Linked DNA regions of Xenopus tropicalis. The protein of the gene in region 1 purifies or fractionates together with the protein of each later gene. This does not show direct contact. Links are inferred from orthologs where the notes say so. Each region holds a gene or a part of one and is shown on either strand. Other genes may lie near its edges.

The links.
Region 2: the proteins of fgfr1op2 (region 1) and pdcd10 purify together in Homo sapiens (affinity purification with mass spectrometry; 3 studies listed by BioGRID and IntAct, counting the BioPlex papers as one, with this or other methods). This does not show direct contact. The link is inferred for Xenopus tropicalis from reciprocal best matches to the Homo sapiens genes FGFR1OP2 and PDCD10.

What each region holds. Positions count from the first base shown.
Region 1 is NC_030679.2:2,582,006-2,593,130, forward strand, and holds fgfr1op2 (FGFR1 oncogene partner 2 homolog), read left to right. Parts: upstream 1-2,178; 5' UTR 2,179-2,282; intron 2,283-5,632; 5' UTR 5,633-5,637; coding exon 5,638-5,772; intron 5,773-5,997; coding exon 5,998-6,115; intron 6,116-6,782; coding exon 6,783-6,925; intron 6,926-7,286; coding exon 7,287-7,400; intron 7,401-8,259; coding exon 8,260-8,400; 3' UTR 8,401-8,989; downstream 8,990-11,125. Other genes in the region: endoul (poly(U)-specific endoribonuclease), read right to left, coding at 10,256-10,519, 10,691-10,844, 11,039-11,125. UniProt on the Homo sapiens protein: May be involved in wound healing pathway.
Region 2 is NC_030681.2:112,904,041-112,914,660, forward strand, and holds part of pdcd10 (programmed cell death protein 10), read left to right. Parts: intron 1-3,785; 5' UTR 3,786-3,883; coding exon 3,884-3,979; intron 3,980-4,916; coding exon 4,917-4,970; intron 4,971-6,942; coding exon 6,943-7,060; intron 7,061-7,207; coding exon 7,208-7,334; intron 7,335-8,928; coding exon 8,929-9,007; intron 9,008-9,563; coding exon 9,564-9,646; intron 9,647-10,620. UniProt on the Homo sapiens protein: Promotes cell proliferation. Modulates apoptotic pathways. Increases mitogen-activated protein kinase activity and STK26 activity. Important for cell migration, and for normal structure and assembly of the Golgi complex.

The DNA.
Region 1 (11,125 bases):
ACTGTACCTTGAATTTATATTTACCCTATCACATTCCCATCAGTCCCTGCCCCAGTGAGCTTACAATCTAAGGTCCCTATCCCATTCCCATCAGTCCCTGCCCCAGTGAGCTTACAATCTAAGGTCCCTATCCCATTCCCATCAGTCCCTGCCCCAGTGAGCTTACAATCTAAGGTCCTTATCCCATTCCCATCAGTCCCTGCCCCAGTGAGCTTACAATCTAAGGTCCCTATCCCATTCCCATCAGTCCCTGCCCCAGTGAGCTTACAATCTAAGGTCCCTATCCCATTCCCATCAGTCCCTGCCCCAGTGAGCTTACAATCTAAGGTCCCTATCCCATTCCCATCAGCCCCTGCCCCAGTGAGCTTACAATCTAAGGTCCCTATCCATTCCCATCAGCCCCTGCCCCAGTGAGCTTACAATCTAAGGTCCCTATCACATTCCCATCAGCCCCTGCCCCAGTGAGCTTACAATCTAAGGTCCCTATCCCATTCCCATCAGTCCCTGCCCCAGTGAGCTTACAATCTAAGGTCCCTATCACATTCCCATCAGTCCCTGCCCCAGTGAGCTTACAATCTAAGGTCCCTATCCCATTCCCATCAGCCCCTGCCCCAGTGAGCTTACAATCTAAGGTCCCTATCCCATTCCCATCAGTCCCTGCCCCAGTGAGCTTACAATCCAAGGGCCCTATCCCATTCCCATCAGCCCCTGCCCCAGTGAGCTTACAATCTAAGGGCCCTATCCCATTCCCATCAGCCCCTGCCCCAGTGAGCTTACAATCTAAGGTCCCTATCCCATTCCCATCAGCCCCTGCCCCAGTGAGCTTACAATCTAAGGTCCCTATCCCATTCCCATCAGTCCCTGCCCCAGTGAGCTTACAATCTAAGGTCCCTATCACATTCCCATCAGTCCCTGCCCCAGTGAGCTTACAATCTAAGGTCCCTATCCCATTCCCATCAGCCCCTTGCCCCAGTGAGCTTACAATCTAAGGTCCCTATCCCATTCCCATCAGCCCCTGCCCCAGTGAGCTTACAATCTAAGGCCCCTATACCATTCCCATCAGTCCCTGCCCCAGTGAGCTTACAATCTAAGGCCCCATACCATTCCCATCAGCCCCTGCCCCAGTGAGCTTACAATCTAAGGTCCCTATCCCATTCCCATCAGCCCCTGCCCCAGTGAGCTTACAATCTAAGGCCCCTATACCATTCCCATCAGCCCCTGCCCCAGTGAGCTTACAATCTAAGGTCCCTATCCCATTCCCATCAGTCCCTGCCCCAGTGAGCTTACAATCTAAGGTCCCTATCCCATTCCCATCAGTCCCTGCCCCAGTGAGCTTACAATCTAAGGTCCCTATCCCATTCCCATCAGTCCCTGCCCCAGTGAGCTTACAATCTAAGGTCCCCATCACATTCCCCTCAGTCCCAGTGAGCTTACAATTCAATGTAACCAGTTGTACCTATGGAGTGCAGTATATATTTCATATCCATGGTACTTACCCTTTGCCCCCTGGGCTGGGGTGATGCAGGGATGGGGGGAACACAATGGCCGTTACAGACGAGATGCAGGGAGTCTGGATGCACCTGGGGTGTCTCCTTTTCTCACCATTCTGACCTTACAGGGAGAGAGAAGACATGTTGGTGCCGGGGCTACACAAGCAGTAGGGCAGCTCCCACCTCTCATACTATTCAGACTCATGAACTGTAGAACCCCCCCCCCCCCCCACCTTCCATTTCCCTCAAATTCTCTTCCCAGTTCTACTCCCCAAATCCTGCCCCCCCTGCACTCCCGTCCCACAAGTCCTAGGGTGCCCCTGGGTACCCCTGTGTCCTTCCCTACTCACCTCCCGTCACAGGCCTGAGCAGCTCATCGCTACCCCATTAATCGTACGTTTTGCCCTTTCATGCTGTTTGGTCCCTGCCGCTTTCTGTTTTTAGTAGATCTTATCCAGGGGGGCGGGCACTAATCGCCTGGAGATACAGTGATTGGCTAATTTAATAGATGAGCAGGAAGATACTGTGAGCGAATATCCGCTACAAGAGGGCTTTGCGCTGTAGGGAGCCGGACCTCTAGCAGCGAAACGTCTGTGAAATACAGTTTTCCAGTCGGAATTATATTCAGGGCGGCCCTTTGCACCGGAAGTGACGTCCTTGACAGGTTCTCAGAAGGCATGCGCGTAGCGTCACCTGCGGTTTCAGCTGAGTTTGGCTTCACTGACGGGACCAGGGCGGAAACGGAAGGGCTGGGAGCTCTGGGACCGAATCTGCCGCTTGTGGGGTGACAGGGTAAGTACGGGCAATGGCTGGCACCCTCACTCACTGGCACCCTCACTCACTGGCACCCTCACTCACTCACTCACTCACCGGCACCCTCACTCCTACATACACTCACTGACTGACTGGCACCCTCACTCCTACATACACTCACTCACTGACTGGCACCCTCACTCTTACATACACTCACTCACTGACTGGCACCCTCCCTCTTACATACACTCACTGACTGACTGGCACCCTCACTCCTACACTCACTCACTGACTGACTGGCACCCTCCCTCTTACATACACTCACTCACTGACTGGCACCCTCACTCCTACATACACTCACTCACTGACTGGCACCCTCCCTCTTACATACACTCACTCACTGACTGGCACCCTCACTCCTACATACACTCACTCACTGACTGGCACCCTCCCTCTTACATACACTCACTCACTGACTGGCACCCTCACTCCTACATACACTCACTCACTGACTGGCACCCTCACTCCTACATACACTCACTGACTGACTGGCACCCTCACTCCTACATACACTCACTCACTGACTGGCACCCTCCCTCTTACATACACTCACTCACTGACTGGCACCCTCCCTCTTACATACACTCACTCACTGACTGGCACCCTCACTCCTACATACACTCACTCACTGACTGGCACCCTCCCTCTTACATACACTCACTGACTGACTGGCACCCTCACTCCTACATACACTCACTGACTGACTGGCACCCTCCCTCTTACATACACTCACTGACTGACTGGCACCCTCACTCCTACATACACTCACTGACTGACTGGCACCCTCACTCACTGACTGGCACCCTCCCTCTTACATACACTCACTCACTGACTGGCACCCTCCCTCTTACATACACTCACTGACTGACTGGCACCCTCACTCCTACATACACTCACTCACTGACTGGCACCCTCACTCCTACATACACTCACTGACTGACTGGCACCCTCACTCCTACATACACTCACTCACTGACTGGCACCCTCACTCCTACATACACTCACTGACTGACTGGCACCCTCACTCCTACATACACTCACTGACTGACTGGCACCCTCACTCCTACATACACTCACTGACTGACTGGCACCCTCACTCCTACATACACTCACTGACTGACTGGCACCCTCACTCCTACATACACTCACTCACTGACTGGCACCCTCACTCCTACATACACTCACTCACTGACTGGTACCCTCACTCCTACATACACTCACTCACTGACTGGCACCCTCACTCCTACATACACTCACTCACTGACTGGCACCCTCACTCCTACATACACTCACTCACTGACTGGCACCCTCACTCCTACATACACTCACTCACTGACTGGCACCCTCACTCCTACATACACTCACTGACTGACTGGCACCCTCACTCCTACATACACTCACTGACTGACTGGCACCCTCACTCCTACATACACTCACTCACTGACTGGCACCCTCACTCCTACATACACTCACTGACTGACTGGCACCCTCACTCCTACATACACTCACTGACTGACTGGCACCCTCACTCCTACATACACTCACTGACTGACTGGCACCCTCACTCACTCACTGGGCACCCTCACTCTTACATACACTCACTCACTGACTGGCACCCTCCCTCTTACATACACTCACTCACTGACTGGCACCCTCACTCTTACATACACTCACTCACTGACTGGCACCCTCACTCCTACATACACTCACTGACTGACTGGCACCCTCCCTCTTACATACACTCACTGACTGACTGGCACCCTCACTCCTACATACACTCACTCACTGACTGACTGGCACCCTCACTCCTACATACACTCACTGACTGACTGGCACCCTCACTCCTACATACACTCACTGACTGACTGGCACCCTCACTCCTACATACACTCACTGACTGACTGGCACCCTCACTCACTCACTGGCACCCTCACTCTTACATACACTCACTCACTGACTGGCACCCTCCCTCTTACATACACTCACTGACTGACTGGCACCCTCACTCTTACATACACTCACTCACTGACTGGCACCCTCACTCCTACATACACTCACTGACTGACTGGCACCCTCCCTCTTACATACACTCACTGACTGACTGGCACCCTCACTCCTACATACACTCACTGACTGACTGGCACCCTCCCTCTTACATACACTCACTCACTGACTGGCACCCTCACTCCTACATACACTCACTGACTGACTGGCACCCTCACTCACTCACTGGCACCCTCACTCTTACATACACTCACTCACTGACTGGCACCCTCCCTCTTACATACACTCACTCACTGACTGGCACCCTCACTCTTACATACACTCACTGACTGACTGGCACCCTCACTCCTACATACACTCACTGACTGACTGGCACCCTCACTCTTACATACACTCACTGACTGACTGGCACCCTCCCTCTTACATACACTCACTGACTGACTGGCACCCTCCCTCTTACATACACTCACTCACTGACTGGCACCCTCACTCCTACATACACTCACTCACTGACTGGCACCCTCCCTCTTACATACGCTCACTCACTGACTGGCACCCTCACTCCTACATACACTCACTGACTGACTGGCACCCTCACTCCTACATACACTCACTGACTGACTGGCACCCTCACTCTTACATACACTCACTCACTGACTGGCACCCTCACTCTTACATACACTCACTGACTGACTGGCACCCTCACTCTTACAAACACTCACTGACTGACTGGCACCCTCACTCCTACACTCACTGACTGACTGGCACCCTCACTCCTACATACACTCACTCACTGACTGGCACCCTCACTCCTACACTCACTCACTGACTGGCACCCTCACTCCTACACTCACTGACTGACTGGCACCCTCACTCCTACACTCACTGACTGACTGGCACCCTCACTCCTACACTCACTGACTGACTGGCACCCTCACTCCTACACTCACTGACTGACTGGCACCCTCACTCCTACACTCACTGACTGACCGGCACCCTCACTCCTACATACACTCACTGACTGGCACCCTCACTCCTACATACACTCACTCACTGACTGGCACCCTCACTCCTACATACACTCACTCACTGACTGGCACCCTCACTCCTACATACACTCACTGACTGACTGGCACCCTCACTCCTACACTCACTGACTGACTGGCACCCTCACTCCTACACTCACTGACTGACTGGTACCCTCACTCCTACACTCACTGACTGACTGGCACCCTCACTCCTACACTCACTGACTGACTGGCGCCCTCACTCCTACACTCACTGACTGACTGGCACCCTCACTCACACACTCCTGTTCTTCCCAGGAACCATGAGCTGTACCATAGAGAAGGTTCTGGCCGACGCTAAAGCCTTAGTGGAGCGACTGCGGGAACACGATGGGGCGGCAGAAGTGCTTATTGAGCAGACGACTACGCTGAATAAACGAGTGGAAGCCATGAAACAGGTAATGCCCAACCCACAGCCTTTATCTACTGGTGCCCAGCGGGCCCCTTGCTTTTAAATCTGCAGCCCTCCAGCTTGTGTAGACTACAACTCCCTGCATCCCCGTGGCTGTTGGGGAGTTGTCCCCGCTTAAAGCTGGAGGCTCAGGACAGAGGAAGGTGCTGAAATGTCAGCCTGCAATTGAGTATGAGTGTGAGTGTGACACGACCTGTTGCTGCATTTACAGTACCAAGAGGAGGTCCAGGAGCTGAATGAGATCGCGCGGCACCGCCCACGTTCTACTCTGGTCCTTGGCATCCAGCAAGAGAACCGGCAAATTCGCCAACTTCAGCAGGAAAACAAAGGTTGGATTCGCCAGCTTATCTGCCCATGTATGGGCTCCCCTGCCAGGCCTGCCTGGCCAATGTCTGGCCTAAAATTGGGCAGATCCTGATAGGGCAGGTTTGATTTTCCTGTCCAATGGCGCCTATGGGCTCGATGTATTTATATAGTGCATTATATATTGAATTAGCATGATATGTGGCATATAGGGAGAAGATTCACCTTTTAAGTTAACTTTTAGTATGATGTAGAGAGTTTGCAATTGGTCTTAATTTTTTATTATTTGTAGTTTTATAGTTATTTCCTTTTCAGTTTAGGAGCTCTGCAGTTTGGAATTTCAGCAGCTATTTGGTTGCTAGGGTCCGAGTTACCTTAGCAACCAGGGAGTAGTTTGGATGGGAGACAGGTATATGAATAGGGGAGGGGCTGAATAGAAAGATAAGGAATAAAAAGTAACAATAACAATAAATCTGGAGCCTCACAGAGCAATAGGGTTTGGCTCCCGGGGTCAGTGACCCCCTTTTGAAAGCTGCAAAGAGTCAGAAGAAGAAGGCAAATCATTCAAAAACTATAAGAAATAAATAATGAAGACCAATTGAAAAGTTGCTTAGAGTAGGTCATTCTATAACATACTTAAAGGTGAGGGGGCTAGTGCAGAGATGTAACAAAGCTGATCCCTGTGTCTCACAGAGTTACGCACCTCCCTAAAGGAGCACCAGTCGGCCCTGGAACTCATCATGAGTAAGTACCGGGAGCAGATGTTCCGCCTGCTGATGGCCAGCAAAAAGGACGACCCCGGCATTATTATGAAGCTGAAAGAGCAACATTCCAAGGTACATTCTCTCCCTGAGGTAGGTGGGAAAGGGTTAAACTTAGGGCAAACCCCACTGACCCCCAATAAACTGACTTATTAGCACATTAATCAGTGCAACTATGTATATGAACTATTTATATTGTGTGCACAAGGGGCGTGGCCAAAACAAGGGGCGTGGCTAAAATATTGGTACTACACGCTTGTGTTCATGGTGGGGGGCATTTAAATGAACTTGTGCGGGGCCCCAAGGTTTCTGATGCCGTAAGTGCAGGTAACTACCAAAGCTTTGTAATTCAGGGGGGGCCAACCCCCAATTTAAAGTGCAGAATTATCAAATGGGAAAATTAACGACCGTCCCCCTGATTGTCCCCCCCGTGTAGGAGCTTCAGGCCCACATAGAGAAAATCACCGAAATGACTGCGGTAATGAAACGGGCCATTGAAATCGACGAGCAGCAGGGTAACCAAGAGCACGACCGCATCGTTAAACTGGAGGTAGGTACCTGCCGGCTGTGAGACTGCTCAGTCAGTAGAAGGCTCGGCAAAGAGACAACGCCATTGGTTACAGAGCCAGGGGGTTGGGCTTAATGCACCACTAACACCGAATCCTTTGCAAAAGATTTGGCCGAATACTGCACTGAATCCTAATCCTAACTTGCATAAGCAAGGGTTAAAGGGGCGGTAGCTTTTAGTACGTTATAGAATGGCCAATTCCAAGCAACTTTTCAATTGGTCTTCATTATTTATTTCTTATAGTTTGTACATTATTTGCCTTCCTCTTCTCTTTGCAGCTTTCAAATGGGGGTCACTGACCCCGGCAGCCAAACCCTATTGCTCTGTGAGGCTCCAGTTTTATTGTTATTGTTACTTTTTATTCCTTATCTTTCTATTCAGCCCCTCCCCTATTCATATACCAGTTTCTCATCCCTGGTTGCCAAGGTAATTTGGACCCTAGCAACAGGATAACTGACCCCGGCAGCCAAAACCTATTGCTCTGTGAGGCTCCAGTTTTATTGTTATTGTTACTTTTTATTCCTTATCTTTCTATTCAGCCCCTCCCCTATTCATATATTATCCTCTCATTCTAACTGCTTCCTGGTCCCTAAGGTAATTAGGACCCTAGCAACCAGCTAGCTGCCAAAACTCCAAACTGCAGAGCTTCTAAACAAAAACTGAAATAATTAAAAAACTACATATAATAAAAAATGAAGACCAATTGCAAATGATCTCAGAATATCACTCTCTAGATCAGGCTAAACTCAAAGGGGAACATCCCCTTTAAGGAAGTAAAAGGTGAGGGATATGTAAGACGGTTGATGCTGATTGGCTGAAATGAGCTTTTCTTTACCCGCAGCAGGAAAACAAGTGGCTGAGGAAAACCCTACAGATCACCCGAGCATCTTTCCTTAATCTGCACAAAGAAGACGCGGCGGAAAGCTCCTCCCACTCTGCGTCGTCGGTCCCCAACACCGACCTGAGCTTAAGGAAAAGCTGAGCGCCCCCCCCCCCGGGCCCCCCAGTTTCTACCTGTTGTACGGGCGGAACCAGCCGGTGCCATTGGATCACTGGGTGTTTGAGCAGCAGCACCCGGAATGTAAATAGCGGCTACATTTTATGTCTGTGTGTGCGCCGGATCAGCGCCGTTTCCTATTGGTCCTCCGGCGACTCCAGAAGGTGAGAGAGCTTATATTTTAACTCGTTCTGGAGCAAAAGGAAATATTTTATGAAAACCCGAAGTCCATGAAGTGCTGTTTTATAGAATATATGGATATATTGTATCCACAAACATTCCAGCGATCCTTATATTACTGTGCTAGGGGGTAAAATGGCTGCATTTGCTTGTATTGCTCTCCGTATGCAAACAATACAATCCCATTGGCTGGCAATATCATTCCTGGGAATTGGCCAATGATGAATGAGCAGGGGCACCCTAACCAATAAGGGCCACCCAGCAAAAAAAAAACTGTTTTTGCAACACCCCCAAGTGAACACAGTCAGGATACTGAGTCTGTGACAGTAGAGCTGTCCCTGGTGCATACTTACCTTTGCCTAAACCAACAATAAAATGTTCATGGTTTCTTCTACGGTTTGTACTCAAATTATTATCTTTTTATTCTGCAGCCCATTACAGAGCCTGTTCCTGCTGAATTGTGCTTAGTACAGGGGAATCCCTATGTGCCATAGTTTTATGGTATCTCTCTGTACAGGCTATGAGCAAACTTAGGGGGCTGTTCCTGCTGAATTGTGCTTAGTACAGGGGAATCCCTATGTGCCATAGTTTTATGGTATCTCTCTGTACAGGCTATGGGCAAACTTAGGGGGCTGTTCCTGCTGAATTGTGCTTAGTACAGGGGAATCCCTATGTGCCATAGTTTTATGGTATCTCTCTGTACAGGCTATGAGCAAACTTAGGGGGCTGTTCCTGCTGAATTGTGCTTAGTACAGGGGAATCCCTATGTGCCATAGTTTTATGGTATCTCTCTGTACAGGCTATGAGCAAACTTAGGGGGCTGTTCCTGCTGAATTGTGCTCAGTACAGGGGAATCCCTATGTGCCATAGTTTTATGGTATCTCTCTGTACAGGCTATGGGCAAACTTAGGGGGGCTGTTCCTGCTGAATTGTGCTTAGTACAGGGGAATCCCTATGTGCCATAGTTTTATGGTATCTCTCTGTACAGGCTATGGGCAAACTTAGGGGGCTGTTCCTGCTGAATTGTGCTTAGTACAGGGGAATCCCTATGTGCCATAGTTTTATGGTATCTCTCTGTACAGGCTATGGGCAAACTTAGGGGGCTGTTCCTGCTGAATACACAGCACCAATAAGACACAAGGGAGTAATTCTCATCCAACACAGAAGTCTAATTGGCTTTTAATGGTTAAAGGCAAAGCACAAAGCAATTAAAACAAAATGAGTGCAAGTAGAAAGGCACAGTGTCGTTCCAAGCTCCTAAACAAGTCCCATATAGGCTGGGAGAGAATAGTAACGCCCCCTCCCAGCCAACCAATCAAAATCCAGTAAATATACAATACAGAACTTTCACATTAGAGAGGCCCTGCTGTGCTACCTGCACTCTCAGAGCAAGGCACTGGCATACTGTCCCTTTGGGGGTAGTTAGAGATTTCCAGCCTGGAGGGGGGGGGGCAGAAAATGCCCATTAACTCATTGCTGACCGGGTCGGTTCCAGCGCTGTAAACATAGGTTTAGGGGTGTATTTATTAACATTGGAGACAAACATCACCGATGGTGTTGTCCATAGCAACCAATCACATCTCTGCTTTAGTTTTTTCAACCATTGAAATCTGATTGGTTGCTATGGGGAACATCTCCAGTGTTAATAAATATACGCCCCTCAGTACAGATCCGGGTTATTGGTGCTAAGGAGGACGGGGTAGGCGGTGCCTATGTAACGCCCGTGGCGATTCACCACGATCTGCATTTCGTATTCCTCCACGCGGACGACCTCTCGGGTCATTTTCTCCTGGGACGTGAGGAAGACGACGGTGTAAAGGGCAAACTCGAACTCCGGGCTGACCCCGATGAAGCTGCTCCCTATGGGCTTCACCATCTCCTTCCAGCTGAACTGCAGGTTCAGAACTTGGTCGTCATGGTCCGGCTGCGGAGCGACAGAGAGAGCGGTATTAATGCACTGCCGTAAAGCAAGACACTGCTGCCGAAAAAAAGTCAAAAGTGATCTAGGAAGAAATTCACCCCCAGGAAACACGGCTCAGGATATGGAGTGTTAGCGCGTGTAACGTGTCCCTCCCCCTAGCGGTGGGCGACTTACCCGGCTCTTGTTCTGCCGCCCCACGTAGCCTTTGTAGTCGATGGTTTTCCTCTTCTCCTGGAGGTAGAACTGGACCCAGTTGTGGAGCCCCATTATCTCCTTCCCTCGCTTGGATTCCCCCACAAACACGTGCTCAAAGCCGCAGGAATCGGGTCTGGAAGGCAAGGCGAATGGTTGAACTACAACTGTACCTTGGAATGGTGGAACTACAACTCTTAACTGCCATTTTAATGGCCACCAGTGGTAGAAAGTGCCTCCTTGTTGCCCTGCTAGCCTACCTACTGCTGTGTGATACCCCTGGCTATTTCTTGCATAGGGGCAACACCAGCAAGGCACCCTGGTACCTACCCCTGCCCCGGCGCCCGGGAGTACAGCTGGAACCAAATGGTGTAGAGTTGGGCCTTGAAGTCGTTACGGCTGGGTTTGGCCTGGTTC
Region 2 (10,620 bases), on another chromosome or scaffold:
TGCTCTGGACCTGGGGTTTTCCGGATAAAGGATCTTTCCATAATTTGTATCTCCATAACTTAAGTCAGCTAAAAATAATTTAAATATCAAATAAACCCAATACGCTTGTATTGCCTCCAATAAGGATTCATTATATCTTAGTTGGGATCAAGTACAAAGTACTGTTTTATTACAGAGAAAAAGGAAATTATTTTCAAAAATTAGAATTATTTGCTTATAATGGAGTCTATGGTAGATGGCCTTTCCGTAATTCGGAGCTTTCTGGATAACTGGTTTCCGGATAAGGGATCCCATACCTGTACAAAGGTGAACTACCCCTTTAATGCGGGTCTCTTCCTGCTTATCTGCTTTCTCAGAAATCGCAGAAGTGTCCTCTCAAGGCAACTTCCACGATTTCGGGAAATTGCGGCGCCGCGTATGCGTATTTCCGGGAAATTAGACGCCCGTAACAAGGGAGATTTGTCGCGGGCGACTAATCTCCCCCGTGTGCCACAGCCCTTACTCCATATCCAGTCACTCATTAAATCATGTCACTTTCACCTGAGCAATATTGCCATAATGTGATCATTTATCACCAATGCTACCAAAATTATGATTTACTTTCTCATCATGTTATGCTTTGATTACTGATTAACTGGCCTTCCCCTGCAAAGTCACCTTTCCAGTTTATAAGAAATAGTGGCTCTAGGTTCATGTACCTCAGTAACTGACCTCTTCTGCCATGACCCTCACATTCAATAACTCTGCCCCACTCTACATCTCTGAAAGCCTCTGCAGATATTCCCCAAACCAACTTTTTATGTTTATCTAATATCCCCCTCCTCACACGAGCTGCATACTTTCTTTGGAATTCTCTCCCACCGCCTGTCCAACTCTCTTGCAATCTTTCTGCCTTTAAAATATCTTTTAAAACACATTTCTTTAGAGAGGCTTTCCCTCATCTAGCTTAGCATAGCTTCACTGTGCACTATATACTGCTAAATGCAATGTTCCGTTCCACATCTTTCACCTGATATTGCCCGTCCTTAACACCTTAACCCCTTCTCCTTTTAGATTGCAAGATCTTTTGGACAGGGCCCTCTTTGCCTCTTGTATTGGTTGTTTTTTTTTTAATATATAATGTATGCATCCTTTTCTACAGTGCTGTGAAATTTGTTGGCATTTTATAAATAAGTGTTTTATGTCTCAATGCCCTGGAGTTTTGTCTAGAATGTTGTGTAATGTCTGGTTTGGCACATTCCAAAATGTTATCTGCTAATACACCTATTTGGGAAGTACATTGCCATATGAAAATACTTGTTGGCCTAAAAGAGAACATTGGAAGGTAGGCATACATTTATATCTTTCATATGGCTTTGATCGATTAGGCTGGCCAGTCTGACAAATACCATAGAGCAGTGCTGTCCAACTGGCGGCCCGCGACCCCCCTCTGTGTGGCCCCCCCCACCTGTCTGGCTGCTTTGATGGCTTACCTTTGTGTAAGCTTTAAAGGAGAAGGAAAGGCTAAGTCACTTGGGGGTGCCAAAATGTTAGGCACCCCCAAGTGACTTACATGACCTACCTTGTACCCCGGGCTGGTGCCCCCGTTAGGAGAAAACAGCACCAGCCCGGGGCACCTGTAGACACCGCTTCCTCCTTCCTTTGCGCGCTGCTGCCGAAATCCGTGGGCCGGCGCATGCGCAGTAGAGTGAAAAGCCGACTTTAATGTTTAAGTTCGGCTTTTCACTCTACTGCGCATGCGCGCGCAAGCGAGGAGGAAGCAGGTAGCGCCGGCAGCTGCCCCGGGCTGGTGCTGTTCTCTCCGTACGGGGGCACCAGCCCGGGGTACAAGGTAGGCGTTCTAAGTCACTTGGGGCCTAACATTTTGGCACCCCCAAGTGACTTAACCTTTCCTTCTCCTTTAAATGGTATCAGTACTGCCCCCCTGCATGGTTAACACCTCAGATTCAGGCTGTAAACCCCCTGTATTGTTTAAAAATGTAATCCACTGTATTATTCACCCCCTGCAGTGTTCACACCTCAGGCTCAGGCTGTAATCACCCACATTGTTCACCTGTTCACACCTCAGACTGTAGGAGCACTAGAAACCCACAAATAAACCTGCACACTATAAAAAGAACATATACTGTGGTGGTACTGCAATTAAAAAGGTTTTTTAATATATAGTTATTGTGCAGACTGTGGGAGCAGTGCCAGCATTGCGTCACTGTAGGCTGCCTGTGTGTGCCATACTCTGCCTACCCTATTGCTGCCTGTATGTGCCATACACACAGGCAGGGTAGGGAAGGCAGAGTAGGGCACACACACACACACACACACACACACACACACACAGGCAGGGTAGGGCACACACGCAGGCAGAGTATGGCACACACAGGCAGGGTAGGGAAGGCAGAGTATGGCAGGTTTTTGCTGTACTACCACCATAAATATGGATATGGTCATGCGATAACATGGGTGTGGTTTTAAAAAGGGAGGTGGTCAAAACTAGCTTCCATTATCGGCCCTCCACCACGGAGGCCGGAAAAATTCCGGCCCTCGGTAACACAGAAGTTGGACAGCACTGCCATAGAGGACTGACCCCATGTATGGGCACCTTTAGTCAGATTTCCCTATGCTGCACCACAAAATCTGCATTCCCTATACATTTTTCCCTCAACTAAACCATTTATAGAAAAACCTAATCAAAAAAACATTTTCAAAAACGTTTAAAGGAGCATACCTGCTTACTAATCTTAAGTTCATTGGTTAGGGCTTGTGCTGTTTTTTTTTTTTTTTTTTTTTTTATTGCCTGCTGTTTCAATTGAAATATGTATGTATTTTTATATCTTTCCCTTAACAGGGGAACTTAAGTCATGTACTGATTCATGTTTGTATAAGCACAATCAAAACAATTGGTACTCCACTAAGAAGCCCCATCTGTATTATGAGCTGCTTTTTATTAAAAAGCCTAACAAAGGCATCTGAGTGGACTGACAGTTTGTTTTAAGTGTGATTGTACAAACAGTGCAATAATGTGAGTTTACATTCAGTTTTAAATGTTGCCCTGTTTAGTGCAAGAATTAGAAAGCAGATATTGTGCCCTTTTAAATAAGGGCAATTAAATGGATTTTCTTTCTTGGGAGCCTGATACATTGAGCTTACAGAAAAGCCATTATTTGACAGATCGGATCAATAGAAAGTCGGCCATGCGTGACTTCATGATTTTGGGTTGGATGCCTACTGATACTGCCTTAAAGGAGAAGGAAAAGCTAAGTCACTTGGGGGTGGCAATATGTTGGGCACCCCCAAGTGACTTGAATCGCTTACCCCGTACCCCGGTCTGGTGCCCCTGTACGGAGAGAACAGCACCAGCCCGGGGTACCTGCAGCACTTCCTCCTTCCTTCTTTGCCGCGCGCGCAGTAGAGTGAAAAGCCGAACTATAACAGAGAAGTCGGCTTTTTCACTCTACTGCGCATGCGCCTGACTCAGTCAAGGCTGAACGGAGCAGGAAGGAGGAAGCGCATCGCTCCAGGTGCCCCGGGCTGGTGCGGTTTTCTCCTAATAGGGGCACCAGCCTGGGGTACGAGGTAAGCGATTCAAGTCACTTGGGGGTGCTTTAACATTTTAGCACCCCCAAGTGACTTAGCCTTTCCTTCCCCTTTAAGGAGATAATTATTCTGCACAGTTGTTTTCCTGGATTTAAAAACACTATAAAAGCTCTTAATATTGGGGAAATAATGCTGTAAATTTGTATCTTATTTATGTTGCTTTTTTTTTTTTTTTTTTTTACCGGTACTTTTAGGAAAACAATTTCTTGATCATATTAGAGCATCAACATCCCACTGAATGAAGTATTCCTGGTTTCCATAGCATCATTTTCTAACTGTACGGTCTCTTTGAATGAGGATGACAATGGAAGAGATGAAGAATGAAGCAGAGACCACTTCTATGGTTTCCATGCCCCTTTATGCAGTTATGTATCCAGTTTTTAATGAGGTTAGTAGATCTTTGTGTCTCAAATTTAGTTTTGTCAACGGGGGGGTAAATAAAAAAAAAAAAAAACTCTGTTTTTCTTGTGTAATCAATTATATCAGGAGTCATGGTAAGGAATGCAGCTTATCTGTTCGTATCTGTCCTAAAGTTGTCCTGCTAAATTATGCTTGGTACAGGGAATACCTTTGCTTTAAGGGCTCTGGCACACGGGGAGATTAGTCGCCCGTGATAAATCTCCCTTTTCGCGGGCGACTAATCTCCCCAAATTGCCATCCCACCAGCGAAAATGTAAAATTGCGGCGCCGCGTATGCCATCCCACCGGCGATTAACATTCTCGCCGGAGGGATGGCATTTCGGGGAGATTAGTCGTCCGCGAACAGGGAGATTTGTCGCGGGCGACTAATCTCCCCTTGTGCCAGAGCCCTAATAGTGATATGTTCTAGCTCTGTACAGGCTACTGGGGAAGAGATGAGCTGAACAACATTACATTTTCTGATAAAAGCCAGCATGTAGTTGTAGATCAGTGCAGTAGTAATGAGGCACTTTTTAGGCAAAGTTAAATTGTAGGATTACATTCATTAATGTATTTTATTGCTTTTGGGGTGGACAAGTCTAGTTCTTAAAATTATCTGAGCATACCATAAGTCATCTTACTATTTACAGTATTCTCCATTTAAAGAGAAACCTATCTGGTCTTATAGCTGTTTTAAAGGCAGTACGTTATGAGTATGTTTTAACTCCCAATACAATTTCTGGGATATGGAATTTTTTTGTGACTCTTCCCATTTACAATGTATGGTCAGGAAAACATTTGCTTGTTTCTCAATGCATAATGAGGTTTAAATCCTTTGATGCCACAGTGTTATTCCAATTCTCCATGTTCTTCTAAAGTTTCTTCAGTCTGTTAATGTTTTGCATTCTGTCTGCTTTCCCATCCAGCTAGAACATGTAAATCTTTCAGCAGCTCAGACACTACGGGCAGCGTTTATAAAGGTAAATTGTTTCTTCTATCTGCATATCACCCCAGGAAAGGTGCCAGTTTTGACTCGTGGGGCTATTTTACATAGATAGAGATATCCAGGGCTGCCTTATTAACTTTTTCTGAGAAGGCTACCCCCCCAGTGGGACTATGTACACTTGAGCATTTTCAGTCCAAAATTTGCCCCATGGCTGCTGTGATAGACCAATGCAGTCTGCACTTGAGGTATTGGGCACTGTGTGTGACTTTGACCTAGAAAGTTTTATGGAGGTAGTCTGCTCCAAGATTTTTTTTTTTTAAATTCAGAATAGTACTAAATAACTCCTGCTGCTATGACACTGGCACAGTACCTAGTTGGCTGAATCAGGCAAACATCCACCATTTGGCACCATTGCCAAGCGAGTGGATCTTTCTATGTGTGCCCAGAATTGGTATATTCTAACAACTATCACTTAATAAGAGAGACTGTTATTTTCAGGGTAAACTCAGAATAAAATGAATGGAATACAGAGCACTTCATTATTTTGGAAATGTCTGTATTTATTCATTGCTCCTTAGGGCTTAAAAATGGATATCCCGGAATATATGACTCAAAATAACAGCAGTAGTTTACATGAATGGTTTATTTAAACCTCTTCATAACTGAACATACTGGATGTGACTTTTGTTAGACAAGAGCCCCTGTTGAGGGTGCAAATGCTTCTGCAAGTGTTTTCCATAAGAATGTGTGGAGTTCATACCGTTTGAATTATTAAATAGCACAGCCAAGTCCAGCAGACTTTAACACAGAGATTGTTCCTATACCCCTTAGGGTTGAAGTTATATATTGGTTTATTTTCCTTTTAATTTCCCACATCAGAATAGCAATCAAGCATTTGAAATGCAAATGTAATTAAAGATTTTCCTTCTGACCCAAGGGGAGCAGATACCTCTTGTTTGTTTGCCAGGGTGACCTACATTCTCTTCTAGATGTAGCAGATTAACTGTCTGCATCTCTTTCAGACACTTCCAGTGAGTCATTTGCTTAAAGGCATGCTGTGACTGCTGGTCTGCTTTATAGTGGAGCTACACCAACTCAACCAAATTTCTTGTGATTCTGCATTTTGCCCCCCCTCCTTCAGCTGAAAAAACTATCTGTTATATTGACCTGTTCACCACCTTTACAAAAAATTAACTGCTCCATTTGCTCAAAATGTAATCTTCAGAATTTTTGCAATTTACTTTTCTTTGTTTTGCAGTGGTTGAAACTGTTAGTAAGATATCATCCCAAAATCTTGTTTATGTGCCAGAATTCGGTACCTGATGCCCATGCCCAGGCTACACAATTATAGACAGTGGGAGGGAATGAGAGAAGTGCAGTGACATCTAGGAAGTGCAGAATGGAAAGTAAAAGTAATTGCCTGCCCGCCTGAGAAATAGATGTTATTGACAGCAGATATTTTTTGTACCTTTTTATAACATATATGAATTTTTTAATAAAATAATTTGGGTTTTGTGTTTAATTTGGAAAGAACTTTTATTATATAGCTTTATATATCTGGGTGAATTGAAGACACAGCTGCTGAGCTGACAGTCCGATATTGGAATCCCAAAATTACAGATATGTTTAAAATAGCTCATAGAGCAGTCGGGGGGAAATGTAATGATTGGGCAACTTTAAAGGCAATGTAAATATATGTTCTAAAACATTAGCTATTACTTTTAATTTTAAACTTAGAGCAGCATGGTGATGCCCTGGTCTGTTTTTACTGCTTTGCTTTCCAATAGACCATACCCCCATTTTGCCACCGCAGTTGACTTATGCGAAGTAGGCAATTTATAAATGGCTGTATTTGCACCATTGACTTAAAAGTGTTTATTAGAATTATCTTTCTTGTATTCACAACTTTTAATGCTCCAATACACAGACATGAATAAAAATAGGTTGCACACATTCTAATGCTGTCAACATTAGGAAACCAATGTATCTGTTTCTTTATTTCGCAGGCAGAAAAAGAAAATCCGGGGCTCACACAAGATATAATTACAAAAATTCTTGAAAAGAAGAGTGTAGAAGTTAACTTCACTGAGTCTTTGTTGCGCATGGCCGCTGATGATGTTGAAGGTAAACACAAAAACACACATCTCTGTATAAGTGCATCTCCTCAGTTACAACCTTCTCCTGTTCATACACCTCTAGTCTAGGAAGTATAATGATTATTGAGGATTATTGCTGCCTTTGCTATTAAACATCCACATCTTTATTTTTTAGAGTATATGGTTGAACGGCCAGAACCAGAATTCCAGGAATTGAATGAAAAAGCACGGGCACTTAAACAGATCCTTAGCAAGATTCCTGATGAAATTAATGACAGAGTGAGATTCCTACAGACAATCAAGTAAGCACATTATGCACATCTACTAAGCACTGGCATATCCTATGTGCCCATGGGATGCTGTGAGGATTATTTTATTTTTGAAGATTGTATGCAACGTCTAATAAAGAAAGTGATAAAGCGGTTCCTGATACATTAGAACATTATCGTCTCAGGTCAGGTTGTTAGGAGACATCAGCACTAGTTTACCTGGAAAGGGTAAATGTATTAACTGCCCTCTCTTCTTCCTTTTTCTCCTCCCACAAGTACCATAGCTATTTCGTTAATTAAACAGGCAAAAGTATTTTTAGCATAAGCTCTATTCAGTTTGTTAACCCAATGGTTTATAGTGTCCCTTTAAGCTAAAGATAGGAGAGCAAGGAATAAGAAAGAAGTCATGTGCATTTCGAGACTATCCTGGGGAAAGTTCAGGGTAGTTTTTCCCATTTCTGTTAACTTGTGCACCACCCTAAACAAATGCACTTAAAGGAACAGTAACACCAAAAAATGAAAGTGTATAAAAATAATATATACTATTGCTCGGCACTAGTAAAAGTTGTGTGTTTTCTTCATAAACACTACTGCAGTTTATATAAATACCCTGCTGTGTAGCCATGGGGGCAGCCATTTAATTTGAAAAAAGGAGAAAAGGCACAGGTTACTAAGCAGATAACAGATAAGTAGCATAGATTCCCATTGTATTCTACACAGTTTATCTGGTATCTTCTTATGTAACCTGTGCCTTTTCTCCTTTTTTCAATTTAAATGGCTGCCCCCATGGCTACACAGCAGCTATTTCTATTAACTATAGTAGTCTTTCCGAAGCAAACACGCAACTTTTACCAGTGCAGGGCAACAGTACATTATATTTTAATTATTTTAAAACATTTTTATTTTTTAGTGTTACTGTTCCTTTAATATGTTGATGGTAGAACTGCCAGTAGGTTTAAGGCCATGATAAGCCACTCATTGCTGTTCCTAGTGGCTCCGGAATTGTCAAACAAGACTTCTCTTAGTGAAAGCATATTGGATCAATGGAGACTGCTCAGAAGTGGTGTTAGGAAAACTTTATTTCTCAAAGCTTGTAAATTTCTAATCATTATTCAGTTTTTGGACACAATAAGGCTCATTTAGTAATGGCAGGCACTAGGGATGTTAGTGCAACATTGCCCCATTTATCATTCATTGCACATACTGATTGCACCTGGGGCTTGGAAAGATTAGCTACTTTGCATTCTTGTTCCAATTGCACATCTTGGTTGTATTACAAGATAAGGGAGCCCTAAACACAGCACTTATTCTGACTGCCACCATTATTGTATTTGGCTCTGGCAAAGAGTTACACCAGATGGAACCGTCTATTGTGGGCTACAGCATGTGCCTGTTCTTCCACCCCCACCCCTTGTAAACGAACCCTAATATTTGTTTCATTACATTGTTTTGTAGCCTGTGCTAAATATTTTGTTGTCTCAAATGTATGCACAGCATGCTAAGCACTGTATATGCCACAATACTTGTATATACAAAATGTATTATCTGTTTTAGGACAGCAACAGTGTTGAATCCAAGGTTCAAGGTGTGCTAAGATAAAATTATTTTTTTTTCTTTAACTTTATAGAGACATAGCTAGTGCAATAAAGGAGCTTCTTGACACAGTCAACAATGTCTTCAAAAAGTATCAGTACCAGAACCGCAGAGTAAGTAGCTTTGCCATATTCTTTATTTACATTGATGCTTTATCCACTTCCACTTGTAAACAGTGTTTGGACTTCACAGCTTTACCTTCACCACTGGGTTAAGCTGGCCATACACGCACCGATAATATCGTACGAAATCTCGTTTCGTATGATATTCGGTGCGTGTATGGCAAGTCTGATATCGGTCGACTCGCCGATCGGGCCAGTTAAAAGATTTTGATCGGGCGCCATAGAAGGCGCCTGACCAAAATCTGCCTCCATCACTGAATCGGCAGAAGGAGGTAGAAATCCTATTGTTTCTACCTCCTTATCTGTCGTTTCAGCCCTGAACGGTTTGTGGCTGATTGTACGATCTTTCGTGCGAAGATTGCAAATCGCCATGTGTGTGACCACCATCACATGTGACCAACACACGTCACAATCTTTCCTTGCAGTCTCTTTCATTGTTTACATTGATATCACAAAAATAATACTTATAACAACACACTGCAAATGTGGCCACATTCTTGATCCGGACATTTTGTTTTGTGGGACTAATTGTGCTCCTTTTCAACAGGCACTTGAGCACCAAAAGAAAGAATTTGTAAAATACTCCAAAAGTTTTAGTGACACACTAAAGACATATTTTAAAGATGGAAAGTAAGTATGCTATTGCATTATTTCTCTTTATAGCGATTGTTACTGTTCTTAGTATTTTTAAAAAATTTTTATAGAGGGACATTTATGAATTATTCATTTGTGATCATAAAAGCAATAACGGTGACCTAATTACCTCAAAATATGCAGGGTAACAGCTTCACAATAGGAAATCCCAAAAAAGCAAAAAGGTCAGCCTTTCCTGTAATTAATGTGGTTGATCACCTTTAAGTTAACTTGTAGTATGTTATAGAATGGCAAACTTTTTTTTAATTGGTGTTCATTTATTTTTTTTTTTTATAGTTTAATTATTTTTTTTTCTTCTGGCTCTTTCAAACTTAGTGAGGGTCACTGACCCCAGCAGCCAAAAAAACTGTTGGTCTACGAGGCTACAATTTTGTTGTTTTTATTTATTACTTATCTTTCTAATTAGGCCTCTCCTGTTTGCATTTGTCTCTCTTGCAAACCACTGATTGCAACCTAGGAACCAGTAAGCTTCTCGCATTCCAAATTGTGAGCTGCTGAACAAAAAGCTTTAACTAGTTCACAAACCAAAAATAAGAAAAGAAGGCCAATTGCAAATTGTCCTTGAATATTACTTTCTACATCATGCTAAAAGTTAATTTGAAGGTAAATATCCCATTTTAAAGGGAAAAAGCCTATTTAAAATAAGGGGTTATTTTTTTTTCATTATTTTTCCTTCAACAAAAACTAAAGAATTAAGGTATAGCTTTCTGCTTGCACTTATATATAGGAGTTGATGTGTTCTTATTCCTTGACTCTGCTGGCTATAGATCTATTAAAACTGATCTGTTGACTTCCATAAACACCAACAATATAACCGCCACCCCTTTTTATTGAATATATGGATGGGGGGTTGTTGCATACCTAGCCCAACAAAGTTTTGCAGCACAATTGACAGCCGCAATGTATAGTTGCTGGGTCACGTCTGTAAGGCCAAACATGTGCACAGAAAG